Linked DNA regions of Notamacropus eugenii. The protein of the gene in region 2 binds, or shares a complex with, the protein of the main gene of each other region. Links are inferred from orthologs where the notes say so. Each region holds a gene or a part of one and is shown on either strand. Other genes may lie near its edges.

The links.
Region 1: the proteins of RBL1 (region 2) and E2F5 are in contact, whole or in part, in a crystal structure (PDB 5TUV), measured with the Homo sapiens proteins. The link is inferred for Notamacropus eugenii from reciprocal best matches to the Homo sapiens genes RBL1 and E2F5. Residues at the interface, in NP_002886.2 of Homo sapiens: Ser1000, Ala1001, Leu1002, Leu1003, Tyr1004, Lys1005, Phe1006, Asn1007, Ile1017, Met1020, Ile1021, Gly1024, Glu1025; in NP_001942.2 of Homo sapiens: Met162, Ile190, Ala192, Pro193, Ser194, Gly195, Thr196, Gln197, Leu198, Glu199, Val200, Pro201, Ile202, Pro203, Glu204, Met205, Tyr213, Leu217.
Region 3: RBL1 (region 2) and LIN54 share a complex: the UniProt entries of both Homo sapiens proteins name them as parts of the DREAM complex. The link is inferred for Notamacropus eugenii from reciprocal best matches to the Homo sapiens genes RBL1 and LIN54.
Region 4: the proteins of RBL1 (region 2) and TFDP1 are in contact, whole or in part, in a crystal structure (PDB 5TUV), measured with the Homo sapiens proteins. The link is inferred for Notamacropus eugenii from reciprocal best matches to the Homo sapiens genes RBL1 and TFDP1. Residues at the interface, in NP_002886.2 of Homo sapiens: Tyr1004, Phe1006, Asn1007, Ser1011, Leu1014, Ile1017, Asn1018, Ile1021; in NP_009042.1 of Homo sapiens: Pro260, Phe261, Ile262, Thr290, Phe291, Glu292, Ile293, His294, Asp295, Ile297, Glu298.

Annotation. Positions count from the first base shown.
Region 1 is NC_092875.1:317,362,736-317,370,302, forward strand, and holds the start of E2F5 (transcription factor E2F5), read left to right. Parts: upstream 1-4,564; 5' UTR 4,565-4,579; coding exon 4,580-4,801; intron 4,802-5,621; coding exon of another isoform or gene 5,622-5,765; intron 5,766-5,843; exon of another isoform or gene 5,844-6,033; intron 6,034-7,567.
Region 2 is NC_092872.1:427,722,641-427,730,237, forward strand, and holds the start of RBL1 (retinoblastoma-like protein 1), read right to left. Parts: upstream 3,016-7,597; 5' UTR 950-3,015; coding exon 305-949; intron 1-304. UniProt on the Homo sapiens protein: Key regulator of entry into cell division. Directly involved in heterochromatin formation by maintaining overall chromatin structure and, in particular, that of constitutive heterochromatin by stabilizing histone methylation.
Region 3 is NC_092878.1:150,599,513-150,606,610, forward strand, and holds the start of LIN54 (protein lin-54 homolog), read right to left. Parts: upstream 3,015-7,098; 5' UTR 2,998-3,014; coding exon 2,847-2,997; intron 483-2,846; exon of another isoform or gene 340-482; intron 1-339. UniProt on the Homo sapiens protein: Component of the DREAM complex, a multiprotein complex that can both act as a transcription activator or repressor depending on the context. In G0 phase, the complex binds to more than 800 promoters and is required for repression of E2F target genes.
Region 4 is NC_092877.1:207,440,052-207,447,412, reverse strand, and holds the start of TFDP1 (transcription factor Dp-1), read left to right. Parts: upstream 1-4,358; 5' UTR 4,359-4,543; intron 4,544-4,559; exon of another isoform or gene 4,560-4,796; intron 4,797-5,140; exon of another isoform or gene 5,141-5,408; intron 5,409-6,780; 5' UTR 6,781-6,843; coding exon 6,844-6,855; intron 6,856-7,361. UniProt on the Homo sapiens protein: Can stimulate E2F-dependent transcription.

The DNA.
Region 1 (7,567 bases), on a different chromosome or scaffold from region 2:
ATCACACAGTTTGCCACTCATATGTGGTCCACCCCCAGTTCTTTGTTGACAGCTCTAGCTGAGCATTTTTATGTAGATGTTGTGTTACCAACATTAAATATTTTAATCTGAATTCATCTTCTACAATCCGTTATAATCTCTGTTTTGTATTCAATGCCTTTCATAACCCAGCTCCCTCCTACCTTTCTAGTTTCCAACCTACTCCAACACATATTCTTCTTTCCAGCAACAGTGGCCTTCTTGCTGTTCTGCAAATAAAATGGTCCCCTTCTTTTAACATTTTAATTTTCTCTGGAAATTCATGCCTCCATGTTTGTAATGCACTCCCTCCTCATCTCTGCCTAACTGGTTTCCTTTAACTCGCCAACTAAAAGCCCATCTTCTACAGGAAGCCTTTCCCAACCCCTCTTAATTCTAGTGCCTCCACTCTTTTAATTATTCCTATTTAACCTACATATACCTTGCTTGTTTGGTTGGTTGTACTTTGCCATATTAGATTGTGAGTTTCTTGAGGGTAAGGACTTTTTTGCCTAGTACCTGGCACATAAAAGGCACTTAATATTTACTCATTAACTGACGAAGTAAAAAATAATAGCTGAGTTTTCCATTAGTTTTAATCCTTCCTTCATCCTTTAATCACTATATATCAAAAAGGATTATATCACTTCTTTCTGAACTTGCCCACCTAATACACCAAACAGACAGAAGCAAGAACAATGTTCTTTAAATATTGTTTGGTTTATGTTACTCCTCGTTGTACCCTAGTGGCTCTCAAATTCTTCAATGATAAAAGTTTCAAGTCTCAACTTTGTTCCTCTTCTTTACGGAAGTGCCACCATCTTTTGCCAGACTTGTAGTCTTACCTCCAAGAAAGCAAATCTATTTACTCCCCTGCTCCTACTTGAAATCATATATCACAAATGCCATTTCCCACACTTCCTCTTTACTATGCCAAACCACATTCCTTCCTTCAAGGTCCTATTGAAAAATGGCTTTGTCCATGAAGCCTTTTCATCATAATCCTACCTGACTCCAGTCACTCCAACATTCCTCTTAGTACTTTTGTGTATCTCTCTACAACTAGCATTCATTTTGATTTATACTGTGAGGTTTTTTTTCATTGCCACTTGTAGAAGCAAAGCTTCTTGAGGAAATCACTTCAGTTTACCAAAGATCTTAAACTTCTAGTGGCCTGCAAGCTCAATACAAGGCAAATGTCACCTGATTATCAAAAAACCTAATATGATCTTAGGCTGCATGAATTGGAATGCAGTCTAATATATAGGATTATATAGGATATGATAGTTCCATTGTACCCAGCCCACATCTGGAGTATCACATTAACTTCTGAATCACCTGCTCCTAACTCAAACTGAAGAGAATTCAGGGGAGAATGAACAGATAGTGAAGGGACTGAAGAGTATGTCTTATCAGACTCACACTGGAGCTATTTAGTTTGGATAACATTTAGGAGGCAAATGTCACTTGTCTAAATTCTTGAAGGACTGTCACATAGAAGAGGTATTAAGCTTCTCCTCCTTTGCTCCGGAGAGGAAATTGCAAAGAGGCAATATAGGCTTAATAATAGCTTAATGTAAGGACAAATTTTCTAACAATTAGATTCTCCGAAAATGAGACTGCCTAAGGATGAATGAAGTAGGATCCCCCTCCAAGAGGTCTTCACCATATTTATGAATGAAATAAGGTACTCAACAATAATGATGGTTACATCAAAAGGGAAAAGTTGTTACTGAGAAGGTGAACCAGAAAAGATTCCATTGAAGAGGCAGCTTTGAAGTTTAAAGGATGAGTAGGAATTCAGTAGGCAGAGGAGTGTAGAAGACAGTACTGGAACAACATCAACTTTAGAAGCAAAGATATGGGGAAAAAGTCTTAGAGTAATCCATTGGTTATAGGATAAAATGCATGGAGGACAGTAATATTTATCAAGTAAGTATATACCATATACCAGTTACAGTGCTAGGCACTGTGATAAAGCTGGAAAGGTAGTGTGGTGCCAGATCATGGAGAACCTTGAATGTCAGGAAAAAGAATTTGTTTATTCTGGAAGCAATAGGGAGTCCCTGAAGTTTCTGAACAGCAATGTCTACGCCCCAGGAAGATTACTGTAACTGAATCATGAAGTATAGATTGGAAGAAGAAGAGATGGAAGGAAGCAGAAAGACTTGTTAGGAGGCTACAATAATTATTAGGGTAATGGAAGTAGAGGAGGAGATGGGGAGGGACATCCTATAGTAAGATAAAATAAGAGTTCATGTGTATGTAGCACATTAAGGTTTAAAATATACTTTCCTTCCAGAAGCATTATGATCCCCCTTCTATAAATGAAACAACCTCAGAAAGGGGTTTGCTCAGTAACATGCTTAGTGATAGGCCCAGGACTCAAATCTGCTGACTCCAAGAACAATATCCTTTCCTAACGGAATCACAGATCTACCACTGGAAGGGATTTCAGAAGACATCTAGTCCAACTCTCTCATTTTATAGATTAAGAAACTGAGGCCAAGGAGGTTAAATAACTTACCCAAGGTTCACACAGGTATAAAATCTCAGAATTGTGATTAGAACCTAGAGCCACTCTTTTCTTCTATACCATGTTGCCTCAAAGGTACTGGGAAAAATGGATGAGGTGGTGTTGCTGACAGAAATAGTGAAATTAGAAGGAAGAGCAGTTTTAGGGATTAAGATAATAAACTTGATCTATAGTTAGAATATGGATTTGGAGCTCTACAGATAGAGTATTTGAGAGTTAATCTGCAAAAGAGACAAAAGTGTGGAGATTACCAAAGGAGAATGCATGTACAGACATACAAAAAACATAATACATAAATATGGAGATAGTGAGAGGAAGATAGAAAAGGAGAGGGGGAGGGAGAGGGAGCTTACAGAACCTTAGGGAACACTCAGTTAAAGGCAAAAGGAAGACTGAGGAAGAACCAGCAAAGGAAAAATTAGAAATTGTGTAAGAGAACCAGGAAAATAAGATTTATCTGATACCAAGGGAGAAAAACATCCAGTAGGAGAAGGCAGTCACCTTCTCAAAAACTACAGAGAAAGAGGATGAAAACTCAAAACAATACAAAACAAAAAACAGCCTTGGTGATTAATTGGTTATTGGTGACCTTTGAGAGAAGAGATTCATTTCAATGGTGGTGGCAGAAGCCAGACTGCAAAGGCTGAGGAGAAAGGAAAGGATGCCATGAAATCATTGCATTTGGAAGTGTTTGTCAAGGAACTTAATAATGATTTTTCAAACTTCAAACCAGTGGCTGGCTGCCCATCAGTTAAGGAAATGACTAAACAAACTGTGGCACATTTAAGTAACATAATATTTTGCCATAAGATACAATGAATATGGAGAATATGGAGAAACTTGAGACTTGCATGAATGGATGCAAGTGAAATAAGCGGATCCAGGAAAACAACATACTTAGCCACTACATGAAAAACAAAGCAGAAAACAACATGTAATTGTAATTGTTCAGCCCCAGAGAAGAAATGAAGAAATAAAAATATCCCTTCTTTTCCTGGAAAGAGGAAAAACTAGGATTATGGAAGTTTCACTGCGCAGGTGAAGAGAAAAGGACATATTTGGATATGATTTTGATGTAAAAACAAGACAATCCTACAAGACTTCTTTTACTTGCACCAAAGGGTTAGGGACAGGCTATAACTAGATCTGGTGGAAGGATCAAGGGAAGGCTTTTATTTTTTTTTAAGGAGGAAGACATAAACATTTTTGTAACCACGTGCTAAGGTGCAAAGGGATTAAACCCCGGAGCTTTCCAAGGGTTAAAAGGAAAACCATTCCCAGTGTCCAGAAGCTCGCCCATCACAACAGCTGGGGGGGAGGTGGAGTGGAAAGCAGGGGTTGTTCTACACTTTGTATCTGTCCCCCCGGGGGGTCTGGCACAGGGCCTGGAACGCCGTAAGCACTTGATGAACGCTTTCTGGTGGATTAATTTATAAAGGAATTGGACAAGACACGTGTCCTAATTCCCACCGACAGGCTATAGGAACGAAGGCTTCTCCGAAGCTGAACAAGATGCTGGGGAAGAGGTGTCCTCGGGCTTTCTGGGGCCACTCCAGCGTTCAGAGGTGCACGCGGGACACGGACCCGCCCCAATTTCTGTTTGTCCCCAGTGGTCATTTTCCAAGGCGGTGACAAGCTCAGCTGCCCGTCGGAGCCCCAGAACAGAAAGGTGTGGACGTGAAATCCTTCATCGCGCCCTTCAGTTGGGCCCTCGCACCATCCCCTCCAGCACCTCCTCTCCATCTCCCCTCTCACTCCGGGTCGGAGGACAAAAAAGCGTCTCCGGGCAACGGCGGGCTTTGGCGTCACTTCCTGCCATTTAAACTCCTTTCTCCACCCTGCGGCTCCTATCTCCTTCCCTCGCTCGCCCCCAGCCCCGCAGCCCAGGCGGTTTAGCTCGCGGAAGCGCGGCGGGGTCGGGGCGGGGGCGATCGCGCGGTGGGGGCGCCGCTCGGGGCACCTGCGCTCGGCGGGCGCGCGGGGCTGAGGGCTTGGGCTCCGCGCCCGGAGGCGGCGGCGGGCGGCATGGCGGCGGCGGCCGAGCCCGGGAGCTCCGGCCAGCAGCCGTCGCCAGGCCAGGGGCAGCCCCCGCAGCCGCAGCCGCCGCCCGCAGCGCCCCCAGGCGGCGGGAGCGGGGGCGGCGGGAGCGGGGGCAGTAGCCGCCACGAGAAGAGCCTGGGCCTGCTCACCACGAAGTTCGTGTCGCTGCTGCAGGAGGCCAAGGACGGGGTCCTGGATCTCAAGGCGGTAAGAGCTGCGCGGGGGCCGGGAGCTCGGGTATCCTCCCGACCGGAGACGGGGACTGGCGCAGGCGCGCGGCTTAGGCCTCGCCGCCCCGGCCTGGGGGTGCCCTCTGCCATGGGGGCGGTGCTCGCCGCCGCTGCCAGCACGTCGTTCCAAGGGCTCGGGACCCCCCAGCCGCCCCTGCATCCTTTGGCCGCCTGATGGCCGGTTCTTCACCCCGGGCTGAGGCGCCCCGGGCCGGCCCTTTGTCAGGCGAGGCCGGGGCTCGAACCCGCCGCCCCCCTCCCCACTCCGCCTGGGCGCGCGCCTCGGGGGGAGGGGCGGAGAGTCCCTTTCCGGGCGCCCTCCAGGATTTCCCTGTGATTTCAGGGGCTTTATCCACGATTTGGGGCGTTCCTCCAATCCGGCTCTCCGGGTACTTGTTCCTGGTGGGATGCCGGGGGAGCTCGGTTTGTCCGTTGGATGGGAGGAATGGCGGGGGCCGGGGAATGCGGGCTGTCCGGACTCTGCCCCCCGAAGTGGGGCTTTTTTTGGCTAAGGCAACCCAACTCCGCGGCTTTCCTGCCGGACGCAGACCTTGCCCAGACCCTGCCCCGGGCCCAGGCACCGGGCCCAGGCACCGGGCAGCGAAGCCTTCCCTAGCTGTGCGGTTGGTTCTGTTTCACCCTGAGGAAGTTAGGCTGGAGAAGTCGCTTCGAGGAGGCCGTCCTGGGCCGGGAGAGAGGAATGGAATTCAGAGATTCGGCCTTCTCCACCTTTCGGTGGGACACTTTCCCGAGGGAATGAAGGCGGCGCGTCCAGAAACACGCCGTGCGTGAGGAGGATGCTCTCGGCGTCCCTGCCGCTCGCTGTGAAAACGAAGTCCAGTCACCGAGCCCTGCAGCCCGGCTCGGAAGAGCGCCGCAGCCCGCCGGGACTTTGGAAAGACGAGTTCTTGGCTTGGATTGACCTTGAGCCAGTCGGAGGAGTAAGACCCAGCCCTAGTGGGGCGGGGTGGGGGGTGGGGGGATCCTGGCCGCCGATTCCAGCCCAGTTTTACAGTTCCACTCGTTGCAGCCCTCTGAGATCCCCCACCATAAACTTATCAGGCTTGAAATGTCCCCGGGGGATCCCTGGGAAGTTCCGAGGCGGTGGAAGTAGAGCCACAGGGGGTCTGGAAAGCCCAAACTGTGTGCGGTCATAGAGACAGTACCAGTTTGAGAGCCAGTCGTTCTGATGAGGTCTTCAGAAAGTTCGTATGTATGGGCTTATTCATCAGCACAGATTGCATTCGTTTTGTATACACAATGTGCATACACTTGTCTGCTGTTAAAGCTGCCTTGTACTTTAATTTTCTCTGTTTCCTAACCTTTTTGCAAACGAATTTTATGTGGACTTGCCTTTCTACAAGTGAGTGTTGATAGCATAAATTTTGCTTTTAGCTTAAAGTGAACTTAATTTTATTTCTGCCTTGGCTTGCACCACCCCTCTTGAAATACTAAGAGACAGTGTGGGAGATTGCAAAACCATGGTTAGGAATTTGCCATTAAAGTTATAGAAACGCCTCTGTGGGAATAGCAGACCGGTTTTAAATACCTTCCAGCATATACTCATTCAGTAAAGTGACATCCCATTCTTGCTGTTTGACTCGGGAATTTTAGCTTACTATTTCACTCAATAATCTATTAATCGTTTACTACCTACCTAGTTATGTCGTGTCTGGTGTTTGATGTTTCACGTGAACGTTGTTTCCGTAGTAGTGGGAATTCCCCTAAAAGCACAGGGATTTTTTGGTTTATGTTATAGCAAGAAATATCTGAATCAATTAATTGAGAATGCCTATTTCTATTGGATATTTTTATTAGTCACTTTATGAACCAAATTGGTTTTATTCTTTTCTTCTCCTGTATATAAAATTAAGTTTTTAGACATTCCTTTCATTTTTCTTCCATGTTATTTCAGACTGAAAGAGATGTTGAATATGGTTCTGGCCCTAGTATAAATTAGGTCCATTCTGTCATACAACTTGTCATTTAAAAATACATTTAATGGAATTAAAATTTTTCCTCGATGATCATCCTTTGTACTGCAACTGCTGTGACCCCAAGAATTTCAATATCCTCAAATTACAGAAACATAAAGTAAAGCTGTTCGTTGACCTATTTAGAAAATATGAATCAAAAAAGACAGTATTGAGCTACAAAAATGAATTATTTTGTTAAATTCCAACTGTAATGTTGACTGAAAAGTATAATGACTGTGTGTAAGACACAGCATACAGATTTTACATTCATGGCAATTATAATGTACATTACATTGTGAAAGAATAAAAAGTCTTCTATCATGTAATGATCGAATTTCTCTCTGTACTAAAATTAAATAATACAACTGAGGGCTCTGCTTAACTGAACAAAGCTACTCTGTAATATAGTTCTAAACTTTACAGTTGGGATGCAGAAAAACTAGTCTCTATTATACTACTTTTCAGTAACAGAAAATTACTTTGTCCTTGTTAGTACACTCATGTCCAGTTGAGGTAATGACTCAGGTTGTGAATATATGTGTGTAATTTTTAGATGGTGTCAGGAAGCCCTTGGTTCCAACCCTGTGTGAAACTCATTAGCTTGTATGTCTTTGGCAAATCATTTAACTTCTCTCAGCTTCGGTGTCTTTATCAGGAGATGAGAGTAGTCTCCTACCTTGGTATTGTTGTAAGGCATTCCTGAGATGATGTATTTATTAAGTGTTTAGCATAGGACAAGCACTGTTGTAAGCTCTGGAATTATAAAT
Region 2 (7,597 bases):
GGGCTGACAGCACAATAAAGGTTTGGGAGAAAAGCGGGCGGGGCTGGGCGGGCCCAGAAGCCCGGACTGCAGCATTTAAAGGGCTGTCAGTCGGAGGCGGGAGGGGGAGACGTTGCCCCTCTGCCCCCCTCCCTCCGCCCGGGCAGATCCGGAGCCCCAGGGCGGTGACAGCGGTGGACTTCGACTCTCCAGCCCGAGTGGTTCCAGCGGGGCCAGGAGCAGCGAGCGGGGGCCCGCGGGCCCGGGAGGGGTGGGGGCGGGGGGCGCAGGCGCCTCCTCCCCGGCCTCGCGCCCTGGCTCTCACCTCCAGACTGTAGGTGCTGCGGATGGCCATGAAGTCGCCCAGGGCTTCGGCCGCGCTGCCCTCGTCTAGGTTCAGCTCCTGACACAGGGCCTGCAGCGCCTCCCGGGCGGCCCCAGCCCCGGCCGCCCCCAGGCTGCGCAGCTCGTCCTGAAACATCCCGCCCGTGGCCCCGGGCTTCGGCGGCCGGCGCTCGGCGCCTACGCCGCCCGCGTCCGCCTCACACTCCCGGTGGCCACGGCTCCCCCACAATCCCCCGCGCCAAAGCGCGCGAAAACTCTGTCCCGGAAAGGGGCGGGGCCTTGCGGAGCTGCGTGACAGCCCCGCCCTTCGAGTCCCTTCTCTCGGGGGCCGGCTCACCTCCCGGACCCCTCCTGCCTCCGTCCGAACACTGCTGGGAAGAGGGTTTCGGCCTGGGAGGTAGCCGCTGGTCTGTCCAAAAAGTTCAAACTGAGCTTCTGCTCCAGGGCCTGTCGGGAATTGTAGTCCGCATCCTGTCGTGGCGGACGGGAGGGGGAGGAGGACCGGCATGTCCGGGCTGCTGGAGCCCCCTGAACCGGACCTCGTGGGCTGAGTTTCTCCCACCCGCCTGGGCCCCCCCTGCCGAGATCCTTCTCCAGGGGTGCTAACGATAGCTCCAGAGCCCATTGTGGGCGCTTACGTCGAGGACGGCAAACGGGTTTGGTTGAGTTGAGAAAGTGATGGAGAACATACGAATAACGTAGATTAAACTAAAAGTGTGTAGGGAGCCCCCTCGCCCTCCCAGCGCATCAGCCCGTCCTCCAGGCCTTCCAGGCAGCTTCATCCGTGCGCCCCGGGGCGACGATGCCTCGGCCGGGACGCTGATCCTCTTGTGTGTCACGGACCCCCTTCTCAGAACGGGAAAATAATGCGAATTTCAGGTGAAGAACTGCAGTCCTCCACTGTCTTCGTCCGAGGATGGGAGACAAGGGAAAATGAAGCACAGGAGGACGTTGGAAGCCCGGGGGTGGGGAGGGGTTTGCTTTGTTTTTGTTTTGTTACCTGAGCAGGAGTTCGCTCTGCGGGGTCCACCCCCACCTCTGACCTCCAAGTGGAGCCTGCCAGGCGCAGAGACCTCGCCATCTCCCAGAGGGGACCGTTCGAGAGTTGGAAGCCCTAAATGAACACTCTTTACTGAACCAAAATCCGCCCTCCAGCTTCTTTAGGTCGGTCCAGATTTCATTTTCTTTGTTAAAAACAAAAACAAAACAACACTGATGAAACTCCTCGTTTTAAATTTTCAAACTTTACATTCTATTCTATATAATCATTATTCTTATTTTGAAATCCAAAGGATCTGCAGCCAATGACGAGTCGCTGAATAATAGGTAGCATTTACATATCGCTTTTTAAGGTTTGCAAAACCTTATCTCATTTTATAGGTATATGTGGATATTATGTGTGTATATACATAAATATATGTAACGGTGTGGCACCTATCTGTATGTTAACTCATTTGAGTTAGGTGCTATTATCATTCCCATGGTATGGAGTCAGTTAACTAGCATTTATTAAGCACCTCCTTTGTTCTGGGCACTGCTAAGCACTGAGGACACGAAGAAAGACATAGTAGTACCTGGTCTCAAGAAGTTCACCTGGGGAGGGGAGCAGAAAACACAACAGCCATGTATGAATATAATATATGCAGGGTAAATTGATGATCTCAAAGAGAAGGTCCTAAGATTAAGGAGGATTAGGGAAAAATTCTTGAAAAAGGTGGGATTTTAACTGAGACCAGAAAGAAACTCGGGAAGCCGAGAGGCAAAACTAAAAGAGGAAGGAGAGCATTTCAGGAATGGGAGACAGGCAGTTAAAATGCTCAGGAGTCATAGAGTATGTATGGGGGGATAAGGTGTAAGAGGACTGGACAGGCAGGAAGAGGTGGGGTTTTGGAGGCCTTTCACAAGCAAATGAAGAAAATGAGAACAAGAGAGGTTAAGTGACTTGCCCACAGTCACTCAGCTAGTATCTGAAGCAGGCTTCAAGTTCAGATCAATCCAAGTCCAGTGCTCCAAGACCACTTGGCTACCTCCAAATCAAGAACCATAAGATTTAGGGACCAACTCCTTCAATTTACAGATGAGAACTGAGGCCTCAAACTCAGAACTGAGGACATCAAAAAGTTTGTAAGCCATAGAGTTAGGATGTGAAAACAGGACCTCTGATTCCAGGTCAGATCTTTCCCCTTATCTCAGACTTTATCTTAAAGGAGTTGTTTAAAATGAGACAGCGATGCTTTAAAGGCTGATTATTTTTACCCACGATATAGTGAAGGTGGACCCAGGAAAAATCACGTAGAAGGTGAAGAGGAAATATTTGACCAACTCTTAGCAGCTACTTTCAAATCACTGTCCCTAATTGAAAAGCAATTTGATCTTCCCTGCTCCATAGCATGCAGCTAGTGGTAAAGTGGATAGAGCACGGGCTTAGAATCGGGAAGATGCATCCTTATAAGTTCATGTCTGGTCTCAAACACTAGCTGGGTGACCCTGGGCAAGTTACTTAAGATCATTTACCTCAGGTTTCCTCATCTGTAAAATGAGCCAGAGAAGGAAATGGCAAACCACTCCCATATCTTTACCAAGAAAACCCCTTATGGGGGTTAAACTTATGAGAGTTAAACACCATTGAAACAACTCAACAAAGACAACACTCTATGGCAGAGAATAAAAAAGAAAAGGAACTGAAAAACAAAAGAAAATCAAAGGATGCACTGCTAGACCTGTCAACTAGAAGGATCATGGTATCCATTTAAGAAGAGACTAATTGGAGTAGGGAAATTCTTTGCAATTTTCATGTAGGTATCTCTCATGTTTTCATTTCATCTAGACTGCAACTACAAGATAATGTGGTTCATAAAAATGAACCAATTACAAAGGAAGCATTCCAACCAAAGATCCCAAACGTAACAGGAAATTTGAGTTTGTTTGTAGCATGGACTAGGTAAAGTATAGGGAGGAGTATGAAATAAAAATGAAGAGGTTTAGTGGTGCCAGATTGCTGACAGTACCTGACTAGGGATGAGTCAATAATAGTATGCTTACTCAATGAAATAGCTCCATTTTTCTTATATGTTGTCTTATATGTTACCTTTGACTTTCATTCACCCCCTGCCCTTTGTTATTATCAGTCTGATTCCTTTGCTATCTCTAAAGTTCATCTACTCCATTGATCTCTGCTTGTGACCATCACACAAGATGAAGAACTGGATGGATATATGCTCTATGGTTTCTCCTACTTCTTGCTGGTCACTGGTCTAGGAAAAAAAGGCCCTCCAGCAGTCTAGAGCTAAGCTATTCAGCCTTGGAATGAATACTGTGTAGAGCTGAGCTGAACTGAACTAGCTGAGAATGAGCACCTACAATATACCATCTCCCTCTATAATTAATACGGTCCCAGGTCTACATTGACCCTTGCCTTGACCATCAGGCAGGACCAAGGACATCTGCTCTGCTACCTCAAGTGTACATACCTCCCCATCCCCTGCCTTCTTCTCAAGGACTGATAATCAAATACATTACTAGTATTGCCTTATGACAATATCTCTGTGCTTCAGTTGGGTGAGTATGTTGAAGTTTCTCTCACTATAGCTCCATGCTCCCTCATATCCATCCATGTTAGCCCTAACCAAAACTCTCTGGAGTCATTAGTCTATTTTTTTCTACTTTTCTATTGTACTCAGTCAACTGTTGGTGCAGTGGATAGAGCACCAGACCTGGTGTCAGAAATCCAGCCTTCGACTCTTACTAGCTGGGTGATTCTGAGTAAGTCACTCAATCTCTATTTCCTCAACTGTAAAATGGTAATAATAATAACACCTACCTGGCAGGGTTGTTGTGAAGATCAAATGAGATGATAATTTTAAGAGCACTTAGCATGAGGCCTCGTCCATGAGAGGTATCACATAATTACTTGTTCCCTTCTTCCCACTCTAGAATTCCTGTCTTATTTTTTCTAATTTTTCTTTTTAAAATTTATTTGTTTGCAGTTTTCTACAATCACTTCCATAAGTCTTAGATTTGCTCCTCCTCCCTCCCCACTCCCTCCCCAGACAGACAGCATGCAATCTTATATGGGTTCTACCCATACATTCTTATTAAATACATTTTCATGTTAGTCATGTTGCATGGAAGAATTAAAATGAATGGGAGAAGCTATGAGAAAAACCCAAACAAAACAAAACATAACACAAGAGAAAATATTCTACTTCATTCTGCTTTCCAATTTCATAGTTCTTTCTCTGGATGTGGATGGCATTTTGCCTCAAGTCCTTTGGGAATGTTTTAGGTCCTTGCATTGCTGTGAAGGTTAAGTCTACCAGAAAAATTCTTTGCACACTCTGGTTGTTACTATGTACAATGTTCTCCTGGTTCTGCTCCTTTCACTCAGCATCAATTCATATAAGTCCTTCCGGGCCTCTCTGAAGTCTTCCTGTTCACCATTTCTTGTAGCACAATAGTATTCCATTATATTCATCTACCACAACTTGTTCAGCCATTCCCCAATTGATGGGCATTCCCTTGATTTCCAGTTCTTGGCCACCACAAAGAGAGCTGCTATACATATTTTTGTACATGTGGGATCCTTTCTCATTTTTATGATTTCTTTGGGATTCAGTCCTAGAAGTGATATTGCTGAGTCAAAGGGTATGCACATTTTTATAGCCTTTTGGACCTAATTCCAAATTGCTCTCCAGAATGGTTGGATCAACTCACAGCTCCACCAACAATGAATTAGTGTTCCAACTCTCCCACATCTTCTCCAACATTTATCATCTTCCTGTTTTGTCATGTTAGAGAATCTGATAGGTGTGATGTGGTACCTTGGGAACTCCTGTCTTATTGATAATGTTGTCCTTTATATTAGACCAATACCCCCTAGTACCTCAAATTTCTTTGCATATCTTTTATATTTATGTGTGTACATATTATTTCTCTCCAAAGGGCAGGAACAGCTTATTTTATCTCTTTAGTCCCCATACCTAGTACAATGCCTGGCCAGGTATGGGCCCTTCATGCTTGTTAAATTAAATAGGATCAGCTATTTCTCTTGATTTCTACCTCCATGCCATTTGGTTAAATTCTCACCTCATTCATCTTTTTGCCTTATAATCTTTTCCATCTCCTAATCAATCACATATCCTAATTTCAAGTTAAGCATTCTCACACTGATCAGCATACTCCCTGTTTAGGAATCCAGTCACTCCAAAGCTTAAACTCATCCTAGCCTGGAGGCTCTTTGCTGTCTGACTTCATTTTTTGGTATTCATATCATACTGTCTAGGTTGTAGCTGGGCTGATCTTCCCCTAAATATTACTCATACTTTTCCCTCTCCTTAGAATGGTTTCTATATCATCTTACTATTAGCTTTTGTTCCTTTTTTGACTCACTTTTCAGAATCATTCCTTACCTTGTTTTGAGTTCCTTAATACATACAGGTATATTAAAATCTATAACCTTTATAGTCTCTGGTTGATGGAGTTCTATTAGTCCTACTCTAACAGAATATAAGTTCCTTAAAAGCAGGATCTATTTCACAGTTATCTATAAAACCAGTTCCCAGCACATAGGTGCTTAATAAATGACTATGGATTGAGTTTGGTTGCTGCTATTCTCTTCTTGGGAAAGCTGCTTGAGAGTAGGGATTCTGTTTTTACATCATTATTATCCTTCTTTGGACCCCTCCCTCCCAGCATGGAGTACAAGTCTATGACAAATGCTTTAATAATCACATATAAAATGAAAGGGATTTTTCCATAAACACATTTTGCCTATTACCTTAGAGTTTGCTCATTTTATCTAATACGAGCTTAGGCTTTCTGAATAGAAAAGAATAATGAAACGAATCTACCCTTGCATGGACTCCTAGACCTAAACACAAGACAACATTATTCATCAATCACGTATATTGCTATGTTTATTTAAACCCTCAAGGGATATCTAATAGTGGAGTTAAATAGTTGCTGTTACCATATTTAATATTTCAGTGATCCTTTAGAACAAATGCAGCATTGCCCCTCAGAAAAATCCAAACACCTGACATTCCAACGGTCAAAAAGGGGCAGTTGATCTTGACAGGGGAGGGGGCCAGCCCTGGGCTCACCATTCTTGCTGGGAGAAGAAATTGGCTAGGTAGTTTTTGAGGGGAGGAAGCAGTAATGGGTTGCTTGGAAGTTAAAATTCTTGAGTTCTGGATCAACTTTTACTTACATATTTTGTAGTCTTTGAGCAGGAAAAAGATAAATTGAAGAGCACACAGACTTGAAAACAGTATAGTTGCATTTTTTTAGGTCACTGTCCAACAAATCAAAGGCCATCTCCAGGGGGTTATTTCTGGCTACTAAGATCTTCAAGTGACTATCTAGCCACAGAGGGCATAAAGATCAAGGTACTTCCCATCAGCATTTGCTATACTTAATTCCAAAATTAAGGAGGTAAACTTTCCTTACCAAAGCCTCAAACCCTAGCTTTGCAACAACAGGAGTCACTTAGACATAGGCCTGGTGTTTAATTTCATTTAAGGAGTCATTCTAAAAGAGTAAAGAAATCAGTGCCTGAAAGGGAATGTCAAGCTTTAAGATGCAACAAGCCAAATTATCCAAAAATTTCACTTTCAAGTACTTCAGACACCTCAGTTAAGAGGAGTTTTGGACACTTGTTATTTTAGGCTTTTAAAAAGGCTACATATATAAAACCTATTTCTTTCATTCTTTTCCTCTCATGCTAGTTTTCACAGCCAGGCAGTCAAGTTACTTCCTACCCCAAACTAAATTTAACCTAGCTCATCTTCCTTTATCACCACAGTTCTTTGACCTATCCCTTTTGTTCTTTGGATGAAAGTGGAAAAAAAAATGCTGTATAGCAACCTCTTGTTAAATTGCTTGAATTTACTGTAATGATTAGAATCAGGCATAAAATTAAAAGTGGGCCATCCTACATGATGTGTATGAAGCATTTATGTTTCAAGTATTTTACTGATGAGCACAGTCAATATGAAAACAGCACACACACTGGAGCTTCAGTAATATTGCTATTATTTAAGATATGAAGGCAGTGTCATCTCTCTTTAGGTGGTGAAAAATAACATTAAAATATAAATTTTCATATCTAAAAGCAAATTTATTTGTCACTAAGGTCTAGAAATTTTACATGCTAAGACACTTACAAAAGGGAGAGCAGCCAGTTTGTTCATGGTATTATATGAGTGAGTTCCATCCTGTACTTCCTTCAATACTAGAGTATTTTCACATATATGGCAACTGATCATAGTGAACA
Region 3 (7,098 bases), on a different chromosome or scaffold from region 2:
CGCGTCCGTCGCCCCAGCGCACGACCAATGTCACCTCCTCAAACCCCCGGTCCGAGGAGCCCGGTCACCCCGCCTCCCACCCCCCGCCGCGCACTTGACGTCCCGCTCCCGGGCCAACAACAACGACAACAACCACAACCCCCCCTCGCCCCCGGCACCACACACGCGGCTGACCGCGGGGTTCCGGCCCCGCGGCTGCTCCGGCACCCGGGCCGCACGACTCGGAAGCCGGGCCCCCAGCCCTTCTGCCCGCCCGGCCCGGGGCCTCCAGCCCGGTCCCTTCCGCTCCGCTCCCCTCCCCCTCCTGCCCGCCCAGCAGCGGCGGCGCATCGCCCTCACCTCCGGGCGGCTCAGGGCGGGGGCTCTCCGGTGTCCCAGGCCGGCAGCTCGCGGCGCAGCCGGGCTCCTCCTCCGCTGTCGCCGCTGCCGCCGCCGCCGCCGGGATGTCAGGGGCCGGGATTGGATTTCGAAAGATCCGCCATTTTCACGTCGTCATCAGAAGCGCGGCGGCGCGGCGGCACGGCGGGCGCGGGCCCGCGGCGGCTCTGCGGCGCCCCTCCCCCGCCCGGGACACGCCCCCGCGCCGCGCCAACCTTCAAACGCGCCGCGGGCCGAGCCCTCGAGCGCCGGCCGGCAGCCGCGGGCTGGGGTAGGAAGCCGCGCGAGGCCGGGAGGGATTCCCCCGACCCAAACTTCAAGTTTCCAAGGGGAAAGGCCAGCGGGAGCTGTGCGCGTTTCTCCATGACCACCTCAGCTCGCTAACACCTTCAGGGCATACATTCCCCCTTCCCCCGGCTGGAAAGGACCAGCTCCTGGGGTAGCCTAGAGAGGGCGGGACCTTGGCCAAGGCGGGTTCAGACAGACGGGGTCACCAAAATCCCATCTTTAAAATGCATACTTTCTACACGTTCCAGACGATCAGTCCCCAGTCCACTTCCTTTGACTTACTCCTTCCTGCCCATAAAACAGACCTGCTGTTCAACCTTCCGGGTCGCTTTCGGACCTCAAGAAATGTAAACCTAATCGCCATCTGATCCAAAAGCTATTAACATTGTTGATTTAAAAAAGGGAAATCTACCCTGAGCTGAAATTGACAATCATTTCCATAGTATCAAATTCTAACTTAAAATACACATTTGCCACCGATACAGTAACATACACAAAACCTCCGGATTATGTCAGTTTCCCTAATTAGCCTCTCTTACTAAATGCAGTCCGAAGATCGACTCAAATACAAAGAAGCGTTCTTTTTTTCAACCTCTAGCTGCAAACCAGTCAACAGGCACCGATAAAAGTGCCTACTACGAGCCAGGCATTTTGCTAACGGCAGGGAACCCAAAGGGAAAAAACAATCCTTACCTTCAAGGAACTCCCAGTCTCACTAAGGAGACAACATGAAAACTATGTTCAACCAAAATCTACAGGGGAAAAGTGGGAGATAATCAACAACCAAAGAGAAAATTATGTTGAATTACAACATTCAGTAGAAATGTTTGGATCGCTAGTGCCTGGCATATGGCAGGTGCTTCACATATAAAGTATGTAAGTGCATATAGACATAGACATGCATGAGCATATATAGCCATGAATATGTGTGTATACATATACACGTCAGATTGCTAAGCCTTTGGCACAGGGCCTGGCACATAGTAAACATTACAAATGTTAGCTGTATCTACATACATACATATGTCTATGTGTGTGTTTGTATAAACTGTAAAGCGCTTAGCACAGTGCCTGGCACGTAGTAGGCCCTATGTTAGCTATTTTATGCGTATGTATATAAATTGTAAGATACCTAACACAATGCTGGCTACATAGTAGGCCCTGTTAGCTATTTTCTGTCTGTGTATATATGAATAAGTATACATACACACATATATGTACATGTGTCTGTGCATTAGCTGTAAAGCACTTAGCATAGTGCCTGGCACACAGTAGGCCCTATGTTAACTGTTTTATATATGGTGTATACACATACACCCATATATACGTATGTTTGTTAGCCATTATGTGTATATAAAAATAACAACTGTAAAGCGCTTAGCACGGTGCCTGGCACATAGTATAAGCTGCATGTCCCCAGCGCGGTGGCTGGCACACAGCACACTGTGCTGTGTTATAAAATAACAAGCACTGTTATTTTATCTGTGTATATATGCATACATACATACATACACACACAAACACCCACAGGTGACCGTGTCCGTGTCCAAGCTGTACAGCGCTCAGCACAGTGCCTCCCCCACAGTAAGCGCCACACCAAGGTGAACTTTACTATCAATTTTATTACTTATGGTATGAGCAGGTCTGCCATTCCCCCACCCTCCCGAAGTTCCGGCGGGGTTAGGGGGAAGGGAAGGGTTTGGGCGGGGCAGGGAGGGGCTGCCCCCAGCTGTCACTCCCTTTTTTCTGACACCAGCCGGGCAGGATTGGCACGCTCGCGGGCTTGGGGCGCGGGGCAGCTCTCTGCTTTGGGGGGAGACCCCCCAGCAGGGAAGGAGCGTTTCTTTCCCCAAACTTTACTCGGAGGCGAAGGGGAGGTCCCGGCGGAGGGAGGGGAGCCATGGCACACAAAGGGGCAGGAGCGCAGGGCGGGCTGCAGGGCCCCCTCCCCCGCGCGGGCGCCGCGCCGCTGCCCGTCGCTGCCCGTCGCTGCCCGGCCCCGCCCGGCCCGGCCCGGCACACCGCGCAGCCGCGCTGGCGCCGGCCCTCCACTGACAGCTCACCCCCCCCTTCCGCGCGCCAACAACCCCCCCATCCCCGGCAGTCGCGGGGTCTCCCCCTCCTCCGTCCCCCCTCCCTCGCCGCCTCCCCCCCCCCCCGTCCCGGGGGCTGACACTCACCCCCCCACCACAGCCGGCGGCGCCGCCGCCTCCTCCTCGCCCCGCGTTCCCTCCGCTCCCGGCAGCCGCGGCGGCGGCGGCGGCGGCGCCTGTGAAACACAGACCCAGGTTTGTTCAAAATCACGCGCCCAGCGCCATTCCACCGCCGCATCCCATAATAGGCTGAGCCCTCCCCCCACCGCTCCCCCTCCCTCCCTCGTCGCCGTTTCCCTCCCCTGGCAACCCGGCCGTAGAGTCGTCAATACGCTGGGCGTAGGTCACCACGTGACTAGGAGCGTGCGCTCGAGCTTTGGGATGGAATGTTCCATAGGAGTGAGAGAGGAGGGGGAAGATCGCAGTTGGAAGAGACCATTCCTGCTCCCCCCCACACACTCCCTTTTAAGGAAGTCTTCCGCGGCTGTGGTCCTTCCCCCGCCCAACCACCGTGCAATTGACCGAGGAGAGTGTGGGACTGATGGCTAACAGTAAGAACAGCTTCGTAGCGTTATGTTCTGGTCGCTAAACTGATTGGACGGGAGGAGAAAAGAATCCACCTGCCCGAAAGCCCCGAGGCACCTGGGGTCTCCGATGAGGCCCGCCGCGGGCTCGCCGACCCGATCTGCCCCCGCTCATCGTATTAACAATAATAGCTCCTGCACAGCCTCCCTCCCTCCAAACAAAGTCCAGTGCAAGTCACGTCATCATTTCTCTGATGTCCTGGTCTTCTCTGAAAACGAAGGACGAACCCAACCGCAGCAACAATAACAGCGCTTTAAAGTTTGTAAGGGGCTTTACGTAGACGCTTGTGTATCCCTTGGTCCTCCCAGCAACCCATTTTATCAGCAGAGGAAACTGAGACCGAGAACCCTTAAATGACTGGCCCAGGACCACACAGCGAGTGAGTGTCTGAGGCAGCTCAAACCCAGGTCTGGCGCCAGGAACACGGCCCCCATGTGGCTGCCTCCGTTTTACACTTCAGGAAACTGAGGTATAGAGAAGTTAACTGATCTGCCCAAGATCATATCGGTGACAGTTATTTTTAGGGAATTTCTTTGTCTCCAATATATATGCTTTTCATTTTTACATATAGCTAGGTTCTGAAGAGTGTGAATAACGGATCCCTAGAAGGCTTCTTATTATTTCGAGTTTGCGCTGCATATTTCCCTAGTGCTGGAACCAATTAATATCCATTTCACACTTCCAAATAGTGTGAATTTGAATAAATTTTCATTCATTTAATAAGTACCTATTATGTGCCAGGCTAAGGACTGGGGATACAAAAACGAAAACATGACTACCCTTTCATATATATATATATATGTATATACACACACATATATAAAACAAACTATATATAATTTCCAGTGAGGAGGGTGAAAACTACTGGGCGGGGAGGGGTTCAGCGTAGGTCTTGAGAACAAACTGGGGCTTGGGTTAAACTTTGAAAGAAGGAACGGATTCTAAGGGCTGGAGGTGAAGAGGGAATGCATTCCAGGTAAGGGACTGACAGTGTTTTAGGACTGTAAATATGTCAGCTATGGGGAAGATAGATTGAAAAGGGGAAAGACTGGAGGTGGGGAAAAAAGGTATAGATCTGTGATAGAAGATAGTTTTAACCTAGTCTAATAAATGGAGAAATGAATTCACAGCAGAGATTAATTATTCAATCCACTGACATTTGTTACTGAATACCTTGTACCACACTAGGCACTGAACAGACTGCAGAAGAAATATAAAACATGATGTTCACCTTAAAGCAGCGTATTATCTACTTTGAGAAGACGAGATATGCTCACATGAATAACAAAACAAAACGGTATAAAATATATTGTGTTGCATTATATTGTATTATTGTATATTACATCATGCTAGTGTAATAAAAACAGAAAAGCAGTTGTATTTTCTTTATACATAGAATGTTGCTGTTATGCAGCGTTTTGCTGATATGACCCTCAAGTAGGGAATGACTTTTGTTCATATTGTTATTGAGTTGTTTCCATAGTGTCTGATCCTCCATGACCCCACTTTGGTATCTTTGCCATTTCCTTCTTCAGCTCATTTTACAGATGAGGAAACTAAAGCAAACAGGGTGGAGTCAAGTGATTTGTCTAAGATCACACAGCTAGTAAGTGTCAGAGACTGGATTTGAACTCCGACCCTTCTGATTCCAGGGCCAGCGTTCTATCTACTTTGCCAACTAGCATCAATTACATAACTGATCAAAGTATACGGAAAAACAATTCTCAAAAGAAGAACCGCAAACTACAAATGACCATATGAAAGAATATTCCAAATGATTAACAATAAGAAAAAAGGAAAACAAGCCTGAGGTCTCAGTTTACCATCTATAAGATGACAAAGATGACAAAAGATGGGAACAGTTAACAGAGGAGGCGTTTAGGGAAGATAGGGTCTTTAAGGTATTGTTGGTGAAGTCTGTGATTCAGTACAACCATTTTGGAAAGCAATTTGGAATCATGTAATTTGGAATTATGTTCATTGTCTTTGACCCAGAGATTCTACTATTAGGCATATAGCACAAGGCAAGGAGGTCATTTATAAGAAGAAAGATTCTGTATCCACCAAAGTATTTATTGGCAGCATTTTTTTAGGGTACTTTTCTAAATTGGAAGCTAAGTCAATGCCCATCAACCGGGAAAAGGCTGAACAAGTTGAACAAAGAACAATCATTGCTTCTCAAAAGGTTTATAAGAAGATGCTCACAGCCACTCCTTGGCAAGAGGTGGAAAAATTATTTCTCAAAAACCATATATTAACAAAATATAAAAGGAGAATTAGTGACTAGAGTATGAAATTCTCAAAAACTGAAAACCAACAAAAATATATTGAAAATTAGAGAAACTGATAAAATGGAAATCAGAGAATAGAAGTGATGAAATTAAAAGCAGATATTCCACATATCATCAGTCTTTTTCAATGTATTGATCAATTTTGTTGATTTTTTTCTCTTTAAAAATATTTGGTTTATGAAATGGCTCTCTAGAAAAGGGAGGAGAAAGAACGCTAGGAAAAATGTCGCTGATACTTCAGTAAAAATTTCTTTTATAAAAGCAGTATTAAAGCATATGTTACAGATTGTCAGTGTCATAGGTACTCTGAGGAGAGATAAGTAAGAAATGGAGTGAGGATTCAGAAAAGGTTTCATGGGGAGATGACAAACTAAGTTTGGAAGGCTGGATCAAGAGCCTCCGGCCAACTTTGCCACCATTCTGCACCTGCCATCTCATGTAGAATTAACTTCCCTCAGGCCTCTTCACTCTGGAGTACCCCTAACAAGAATGGAAGGAAGGAAAGAAGGGAGGGAGGGAGGAAAGAAGAAAAGGGGAGAAAAAGAAGGAAAGAAGAAAGAGAAGGAAAGGAAGGAAGGAAGAGCAAAAGAAAGAAAACCCTTGACCTTACAACAGAAATCTAATCACATCAGCGCCAGGTGAATTTAGGAGGGAGCTCCACACCATTTCTTCACCAGGCAACTACTTGAAAACTCTCTTCTCCTCATTAATAAAGGAGATTGTCCGATGTGCTTAGGTATTACAATGGGACCAAAAATGCCCTGAAGCCCAGAATTTCTTGAATGACGGAGGGTGAGCCTTACAGGATGACTTAGAGGCTGCTGGCACTCGGCTGGAGTTAGGAAGACCTCGAGTACAGATTTGGCTTCAGACATTTACTGGACAAGTCATTTAACCTCTCTTTGCCTCAGTTTACTCAAGTGCAAAATGATGATCATGATAGCACCTACCTCATAGGGTTGTTATGAAGATAAAATGAGATATTAATTACAAAAGTGCCTAGCAATAGTTGGTTGGTTGTTGTCCTTTGTTTTCAAGGAGAACCAAGATGACATCTCCGTGGAGTCAAGTTTCCATGTGTCTGACTGTGGCTGATCAGGCTAATATGAGCTCAGAATGCTCTGCCACAGGCCGAGCACAGATAGTCCGTGTGAACATTTGGGATGGATTCTCTAAATTTGCGCATCCTACATTTCCTTTGTGCTGCCTCAGTTCTGCTTTGCTCATAGAGCACAGCACCCTTTCTCATGCGGGCATGCCATGCTGGGCGGTCCTGTGCCAGTGTCTCCCATTCACACTATCAATTCCAAAGTTCTTACGAGAGACCTTGAGAGTGTCCTCCTATTGCTTCTTCTGACCACCACGTGAATGCTTGTCCTGTGTGAGTTCTCCATAAAATATGCTTTCTGGCAAGCATATGTTTTGCATTCAAACCACGTGGCCAGCCCTTCAGAATTGTGCTC
Region 4 (7,361 bases), on a different chromosome or scaffold from region 2:
CTGATTCATTCTCCTTTCAGCCACTAGTGATTTTTCTAAAGTGAAAGTCCAACCATGTCACCTTTTAAACTCCAGTGGCTTCCCATTGCCTCCAAGATCAAATACAAAATTCTCTGGAGTTCAAAGCTCTACATAATTTAATACCTTCCAATTATTGTTCCAGTCTTCTTATACATCACACCCCACTAGATATTCTTCTTTTTGATCCAATGACACCAGCTTCCTTGCGGTTCCCCAAATAAGATTTTTCATGTCTTGGCTTCCAGACATTTTCTCTGGCTGAGCCCATGCCTGGAATGCTCCTCATCTCCTTTTATAGGTTTCCTTTTAAGTCCCAAGTAAAATCCCATCACCTACAGGAAGGCTTCCCCACCCCCTCTTAATTGTAGTGCATACTCTCTGTTAATTATTTCTTATTTAACCTGCATGTAGCTTGTTTGTATGTCTTTGTTTGCCTATCATCAGGATCCCAGGCAACCTCTTCACCAGGAAATCCATCATCTTAAGAAATTACATCAGTTTTGGTATTCACGCCTTTTTTAGTCCCTTCCTTACTCTTTGTCTCCCAGATTGGAGAGCAGGAGGGTGGAGCAAAACACTCCTCCGCTCAAAGCTTCCATTTAACTTTCCTACCAGCTTCACTCCTTGGCCTCTTTAGTCCACCAACCAAACTTCTTCCTCCCCACCCTTCCTCCTATCCTGCTTTTCAGCTTTGTATTTGTGATGTTTTCTCCTATTAGGTTGTAAGATCCTTGAGGGCAGGGACTGTTTTTGTTTTTTGTATTCCCTGCACTTAGCACCGATCTTGGCACTAGTTGGCCCTTAATAAACACTTATTGACAGACCCTGCTTAGGGGCAAGGACTTTCTTTTGCCTCTTTTTTTTTTTTTTTTCTGTATCCTCAGGCTTAGCACAGAACCGGGAACATAGTAGGTGTTTAAAAATTGCTAATTGACTGAGCTTTCATTTTGTTCAGTCATGTCGAGTCTTCCTGATCCCCCTTGGTGTTTTCTTGGCAATACTGGCGGGGTTTGTCATTTCCCTTTCCAGTTCATTTTATAAATGAGGAAAGGCACATAGGGTTAAGTGACTTGCACAAGGTCATACGGCAAATAAGTGTCTGAGGCCAGATTTGAACTCAGAAAGATATATTTCCCTGATTGCAGGCTTTATCCACTGTGACACCTAGCTGTCCAGTTCTTTCATTTATATAGTTGTTAATGTGTTTTTTATTTTCTGGGTTCTGTTTACTTCTCTTTGCATCAATTCATGAGTCTTACTGTACTTTTCTGTATCACAGTAGCTATTCCCCAATTAATAGCATCCACTTTGTTTGGAGAAATTATTTCTAACTTGTGGGATAAGGGTCATGGAGGAGGTGGCATTTGAAATACATATTAAAGGAAAAGAAGGATTTCAGTAGGTAGAGAGGGATTTGGGAAGTATTGGGAAACAAGATAGTGACCTATGGAATCATGATCAGTAGTTCATTTTGGCTGGAAGGTTGTGCAAAGGGGAATACCGCAGAACAAGCCTGGGAAGGTATAGAGCCAGATTATAGAAGACCTTAAGCATCAGGCTAAGGAGTTTGTATTATTTTGTAAACATGGGGAGTCCCCAAAGTTTTTGAGAACAGGAAGGATGTCATCAGAATTACACATTAGGAATATTATTTTGGCTGTGGAGTGTTGGACAGAACTGAGCAGAGGGAGACCAAAAGAAGAAAGCTAGTTGAGTCTATTTCATCTCCTAGGTGAAATTCTTGCTTGACCTTTCATTCCTCCAGAAAATTTTCTTTATTATTTTTTTTCTTGCTCTAAAAAGTAATCCTTTCCTAATTTGACTGTATGGTACTAAGTAAATTATACAATATTGTCATGTAAGATTCTTTTCTCCTCAGGAGGTGGAAAATCAGAAAATAAATGCTTGCTAATTGAAAAAAATATTTTTAAAGGTCTATTTTAATAGTTTAGATGAAAGGAGAACAGGGATTGTAGAAGTAATGCTGAAGTATCAAAATGATAGTTTGTAGGGGTTGAGGGAGGAGGAGGAATCATACATAAGAAAACCAGGGTGACTGACATCCAGCTGGTGGTGCCATCAATAGAAATTGGTGGATAAGTATGAGGATGGCTTTTTTTTGGGGGAGGGAAGATGTGAAATGTTTAGAGTGTGGTATTGGCTGGACATTTAGGTAGAGATGTTGCTTCTGGTCTGAAATTTGGGACTGGAATTTGATCCATCTGAATAGACGTGTTAAAGGAAGCCATGGGAGTGAATGAGTTTGCCAAGAGAGAGTATATAGAGAGAATTAAAGAAGGCTGAAGATGTTCCTAGGGGAGCATAGGAACATAGATTTAGAGCTAGATAGGAGCATGAGTGAAGCAGTTAACTTTCTTGAACTTCAGTCTGCATGTGTGAAATGATAATGATAATGAAGATAGTACTACTATTACTACTATTAACTACTACTATTAACTATTACTAATAATTACTATTACTAGAAGTCTACACTATGCCATATAGTGTAGACTTCTAGTCAAGAGGATCTGGGTTCAAGTTCTGGTCCTGATAGTTATTATCTGTGTAACTAAGAATGACCTCTGGACTTCACGCAATTCTTTAAGACCATTTATAAAAAGTAGATTTTTATGAATATCTCTTGCTTTTATAATGTTTGTCTTTCCCTTATGTCCCTATATTCCTCTGTCCCTAAAGAGTTATCCCTTATAACATAATTTTTTTAAAGGAAAAAGAAAAGACCCCAGTAAAACTGATTAACACAATGAAAAAAATCAGGGTTCTACATCTATGTATCCCCAGCTTCTGCAAAGGAATGTGTGGGGAGGGAGATATCCTTTGTTTTTTAATCTCTTCTTCGGGGCCAGTTTTGATTAATTTGTGGTTGTTCTTATTGTAGTCATTATGTACATCTTCTTTTCCTGGCTCTGAATTCTTCCCCTTGCATCAGTTCATCCAAGTCTCTCCATGCTTCTCTGTATTCATCATGTATGTTGCTTCTTCCAGCAGAGTAACCTTCCATTTCACTCATATTCCACAATTTGATTGGTCATTCACCCGCTGAAGGGGGGAAGATACTTTGTTTCCAATTTTTTGTTGCCACGAAAACTGCTGCTATGAATATTTTGGGGCGTGTGTGGATTTTTTGTGTCGGTGAGCTCCCTGGGGTTTATGCCTCCAGCAGAATCCCTGGGTTGTCCTGGATGTCGTGTCTGATGGTGGTGAGAAGGCACTTATTCATCCAAGTACTGTGAGTCTGAGTTATTACATCGGAAAAGGTAGATGACAACGAACAACCGCGGGAGGCAGAAGCAGAAGAGACCCCTGTGAATGCAGAGCAGGGAGTGTAGAGGAGGTGCACGGCGCCCCTGGGGAAGGGGTGGAGGAAGATGAAGAAGGAGAAGAGTCACTGGGCTTGGCGGATGAGTGACCTTGACAGGTCAAGGGCATCAGTGACCTTGGAGAGAGGTGGTGGAGAAGGAAGCCAACCGTATTCCTCCTAATAGAGGAAAGGCCTGAACACGGTGGGTCGGTCAGGAAAGGACACAGAAGCTGAACGAAAGGGGGATGGGGGGTCGGGCGCAGTCCAGCCAGGCCAAGCAGCCCCGTCCTGTCAGACAGTGACCACACCCCACGTGGGCCACGCCCGTCCTCGGCGGAGGGGCCCGAGAAGGGCCCGGGGACCCGAGGGAGGGGTCGGGAAGCCGGCCCCAAACGGGCCAATGGTGACACCCCGCCGGTAAGGGGGAGCGCGGGGCAGTCACGAAGCGGGCCCGGGGCCCGGCGCCTCGGGCCTAGAACCCCAAAGTGTTCTGCAAACCTTCGTTACGTCTCACCGCACCTGCCAGGGCCGGGTGCCTTTTCTATCCCGGTTTTATGGGAGGCCAGACCGCGCCGGCCCCCGGCCCCCCGCGGAGCTGAGCACGTGGCCGCAGCTCCGTCGGCCCGGGGCCGGCCCGGCCCGCCGCTCTCCTCGCGCCTCCTTTCAGATGACCTCATTGCGGCTAGTCCGGGCGGCCCCGGGGGATGCGCGGAGCTGTCGGGAATGGAGGCGGCGCGCGGGCCGCAGGCGTGGGAGCGGGCCGCGGGGCGCGCTCTGCGGATGGCGGGGCCGTCGGCCGGGGCGCCCCGCCGAGCCGCAGCCCACCCCGGCTTCTTTTCCTCCTTTTCCCCCAAGCGCACCGCCCGGCCGATCCCCGGCGGGCTCAAGGTTCCCACTTTGACGTTTTGGCGCCGCGCGCTTCCCGCGCTCTCCCAGGCGGAGCCAGACACTCCACCACATGCGAGCACGCACACCGAGCCCTCCGCGGGAGCCCAGCGCGGGGGCGGAGCAGAACTGGCGGGAGCGAGGGAGGGAGCGAGCCAAAGGCGCGAAAAAGCCGCGCAGGCGCGCCCGGCTCCCCGAGGCGGAGCGCGCGGGGGTGAAACTGACACTTTGGGCCCGTCTCTATGGGGCCGCTCGTGGCCGCACGTCACCGCGCTGCCGGCACGTCACGCCGGCTTGACGCTCCCAGTACAAAGTGTAAGTTTCAATTTTTTTGATCCCCCCCTTGGCCGACTCTCCCCATTTTGTGGGGAGGAGTGGGAGCGCAGTCGGGGGGGAGGGGGGTCGGGGGAAGCGAGGCCGGCCTCCGAGCTGCCGGGATCTACTCCCCTCCCCCGTGATCTCTCCCTCCCTGGGTGCGCGGGGGCTGCAGCGGCGGGGCCGCGCTGCCCCGCTCCCCATCTCCGCCCCCCACCCCCCGCGGCGCGGGCGCCGGGACCAGGCGAGCCAGGTGTGGGACGCGGAGCCGGCCTCGCGGGCTGGGGGCGCGTGTGCACGTCAGCGCGGGGCCCGGGGGGGCGGCCTTGCAGCCTGGGTGGGGGCTGGGGTGAAGGATGCAGCCGGGTTTGGAGCCCCATGCGGGAGGATGGGGGGGGGTCCTTGTGGAGCCCGGGAAGGATGGAGCGGGGGCGGGGATGGCGGAGGTCCGCCGGGTACTTGAGTGTGTGTGGAGAGTTAGTGCTGGCCTGGGGTGGGGGGGGCGGTCGGAGCGGAGGCTGGCCGGCAGGGCCAGCCGCGGGGGATGGGGAACCCGTGCGGCCGGTCTGGTCCCCTGGGCGGGCCCCCCTCTGCCCTGCCCCCCGCCTCGCCTCGCCTGTGTGTGGGCGCCGTGCACACGGCTTGGTGTCTCCTCGGGTCTCTTTTCCTGGTGCTGTGTGTTGCACATGTGCAGTGGGTAGACCTTGCCTTCCCCCCCTTTCCCATCCTTCTGCCCCCCACCCCCCCACCCCACGCTGCTGCTCCTGCTCATTGTAGCGGTTGCAGTTGGTGGTGGGCTCTGGGCTCCGCTGCGCTCCCGGCCTGGCTTGGGGGGGCGGCCAGGAGGGGAGGAAGACGCCTTCAGGTGAATTGACCCCCGGCTTGAGATGCGGGGCTCCGGGGAGGAGGGGAAGACGGGAGGGGGCCGGCGTGGACGGAGGCTCTGGGGTGCTCACCCCCTTTCTGCCTTTGCAGATGGGGAAGGGTCCGGGGGATGGGACGGAGAAAGGTGGGGGGGAATGCCCAGCTGGTGGAGGGGTGGTAGGCCTCTCTCCAGCCCCCCATCGCCCCATCAGCATCGCTGCGCCTCCTTTGGGGAGCAGGGTCCCACGGCGGAGGGTCAGGATGGCGCCTGTTGCCAGGGTGGTGCCCGGGTCTGGAGGGGGGGCGGAGGGGGGGAGGCACAGGCCGGTGAGGCCGGCCGGGCGGGCTGGCGGGCGGGCAGGCGGCTGAGCCGCCGCCGCAGCTGCTGCTTGTGTCCGTCCATGGGGCCTGCTCCGGCCAGCTCCCTGCGGGACACCCCGGCAGGGGAGGGGGCTGGGGGCAGCCCCTTCACCAGCCTGGGTGCTGAAATGGCACAGCAGGGTGGAGAGCTCGCTGCGAGTTCCGGTGCTGGGGGTGGGGTGGGGGGAACTCGCCCTCCTCGGGCTGTGGTTCCGAGGCCTAGTGACAGGTCAGGAAGATCTAGATCCCAGATGGACCTGGGGCTTGTGGAGTCGATCCCGGACCGGGGCTCGCCTTGTGGCCTGAGAGCAGTTACTTTAACCCTGGAGCTCCCTTGGAAGCACACCTGTCAGAGTTCTCAGCATGCTCAGGGCTGGGCCAGTGGAGCTGGCGGCTGACTGGAGTGGGGGCAAGGCCTCCCCTTCCACCTTTCAGTATATTTTGGGGGAAGGGGGCTAGCGGGAATCATATATCGTGCATTTTTGTGCTGGCAGTGTAAGGATGGGTTGAGTCTGGATATATAGACATGGGCATAGGTTGGCGTGCGTGTGCGTGGGTGAGGGTTAGAGGGTTTGCTTGTATCCATCATATCTAATCGTGGTGGGGGTGAGGGTCTTAGGTTCGTCATAGTCTTGTTCTGCCTATCAGTATAGATGGTTATATTTGTTACCCTGTGACATTAGTTTGTAGTGGGGTGAGCTAGAGGTATCGTTAGTAGTCTGGGAGCGTAAGAGTTTGTAAATTTCCTTTGTATAAGACACTGACATTTGTCTATAACATGTCGTTAGTCCCATAAATTATTTTTAAAAGAAGTAGCCAAGTTGCTTTTGTAGATTCCTTTCAGGATCGAATACATGTATGCATCGGAAGGGGGAGGAGGTTCCTGATATCCCAGAATGCATTTTGCTTTGCTTTGGAGGGAGAAATGTATCAGTTTAGACTTAAGATACAATATTTTGCCAACCATTATCTTACACTGAATTTATATCTTCTTTTGCCTTTTTATTCCCTAGAAGATTATCGTTTCTTCTCTGGAGAGTGAACATCTAAAGAATTGATTTCAAGGATCTGGTAACATGGCAAAAGATGTAAGTATATTTGCTGAGTGTTAAATGTAAGTTAATGCTTAGTTTTTAGTCTTAAGTAGAAAAAATGGTAAATTGTATATGGTCTTGTTAACTTATTTTAGGTTGACAGTAGGTAAGTTACATCAGCTTGTTTTTAAGACTTTCAAAACATGAGGAAAACATGATTAGATCAAAAATGATCTTAGGGATCTTGACAACTACATACATACATGTATAAGTTCATGACTTAATATTTTTGGGTCCTGTTAAATCTTTTAATTGGAATTCTTTCCCTGTAGCAAGAGACAGGTAACTTTGATGACTGACAATTTGAGGGATTTATGTCAAGTTTCAAAATCATTAACAATTTTTGGAATGACTGATTAATTAGTTTGGTACAAAATTGAGTAAATTAAACTTTTTAATCTATAGAAGTTATGTTAGTAAGATAGCATTTTTAAGGTTTGATCCTCACTACAATCCTCTGAGGTACTACTGATATTATCTCCAATTTATAGATATGTATA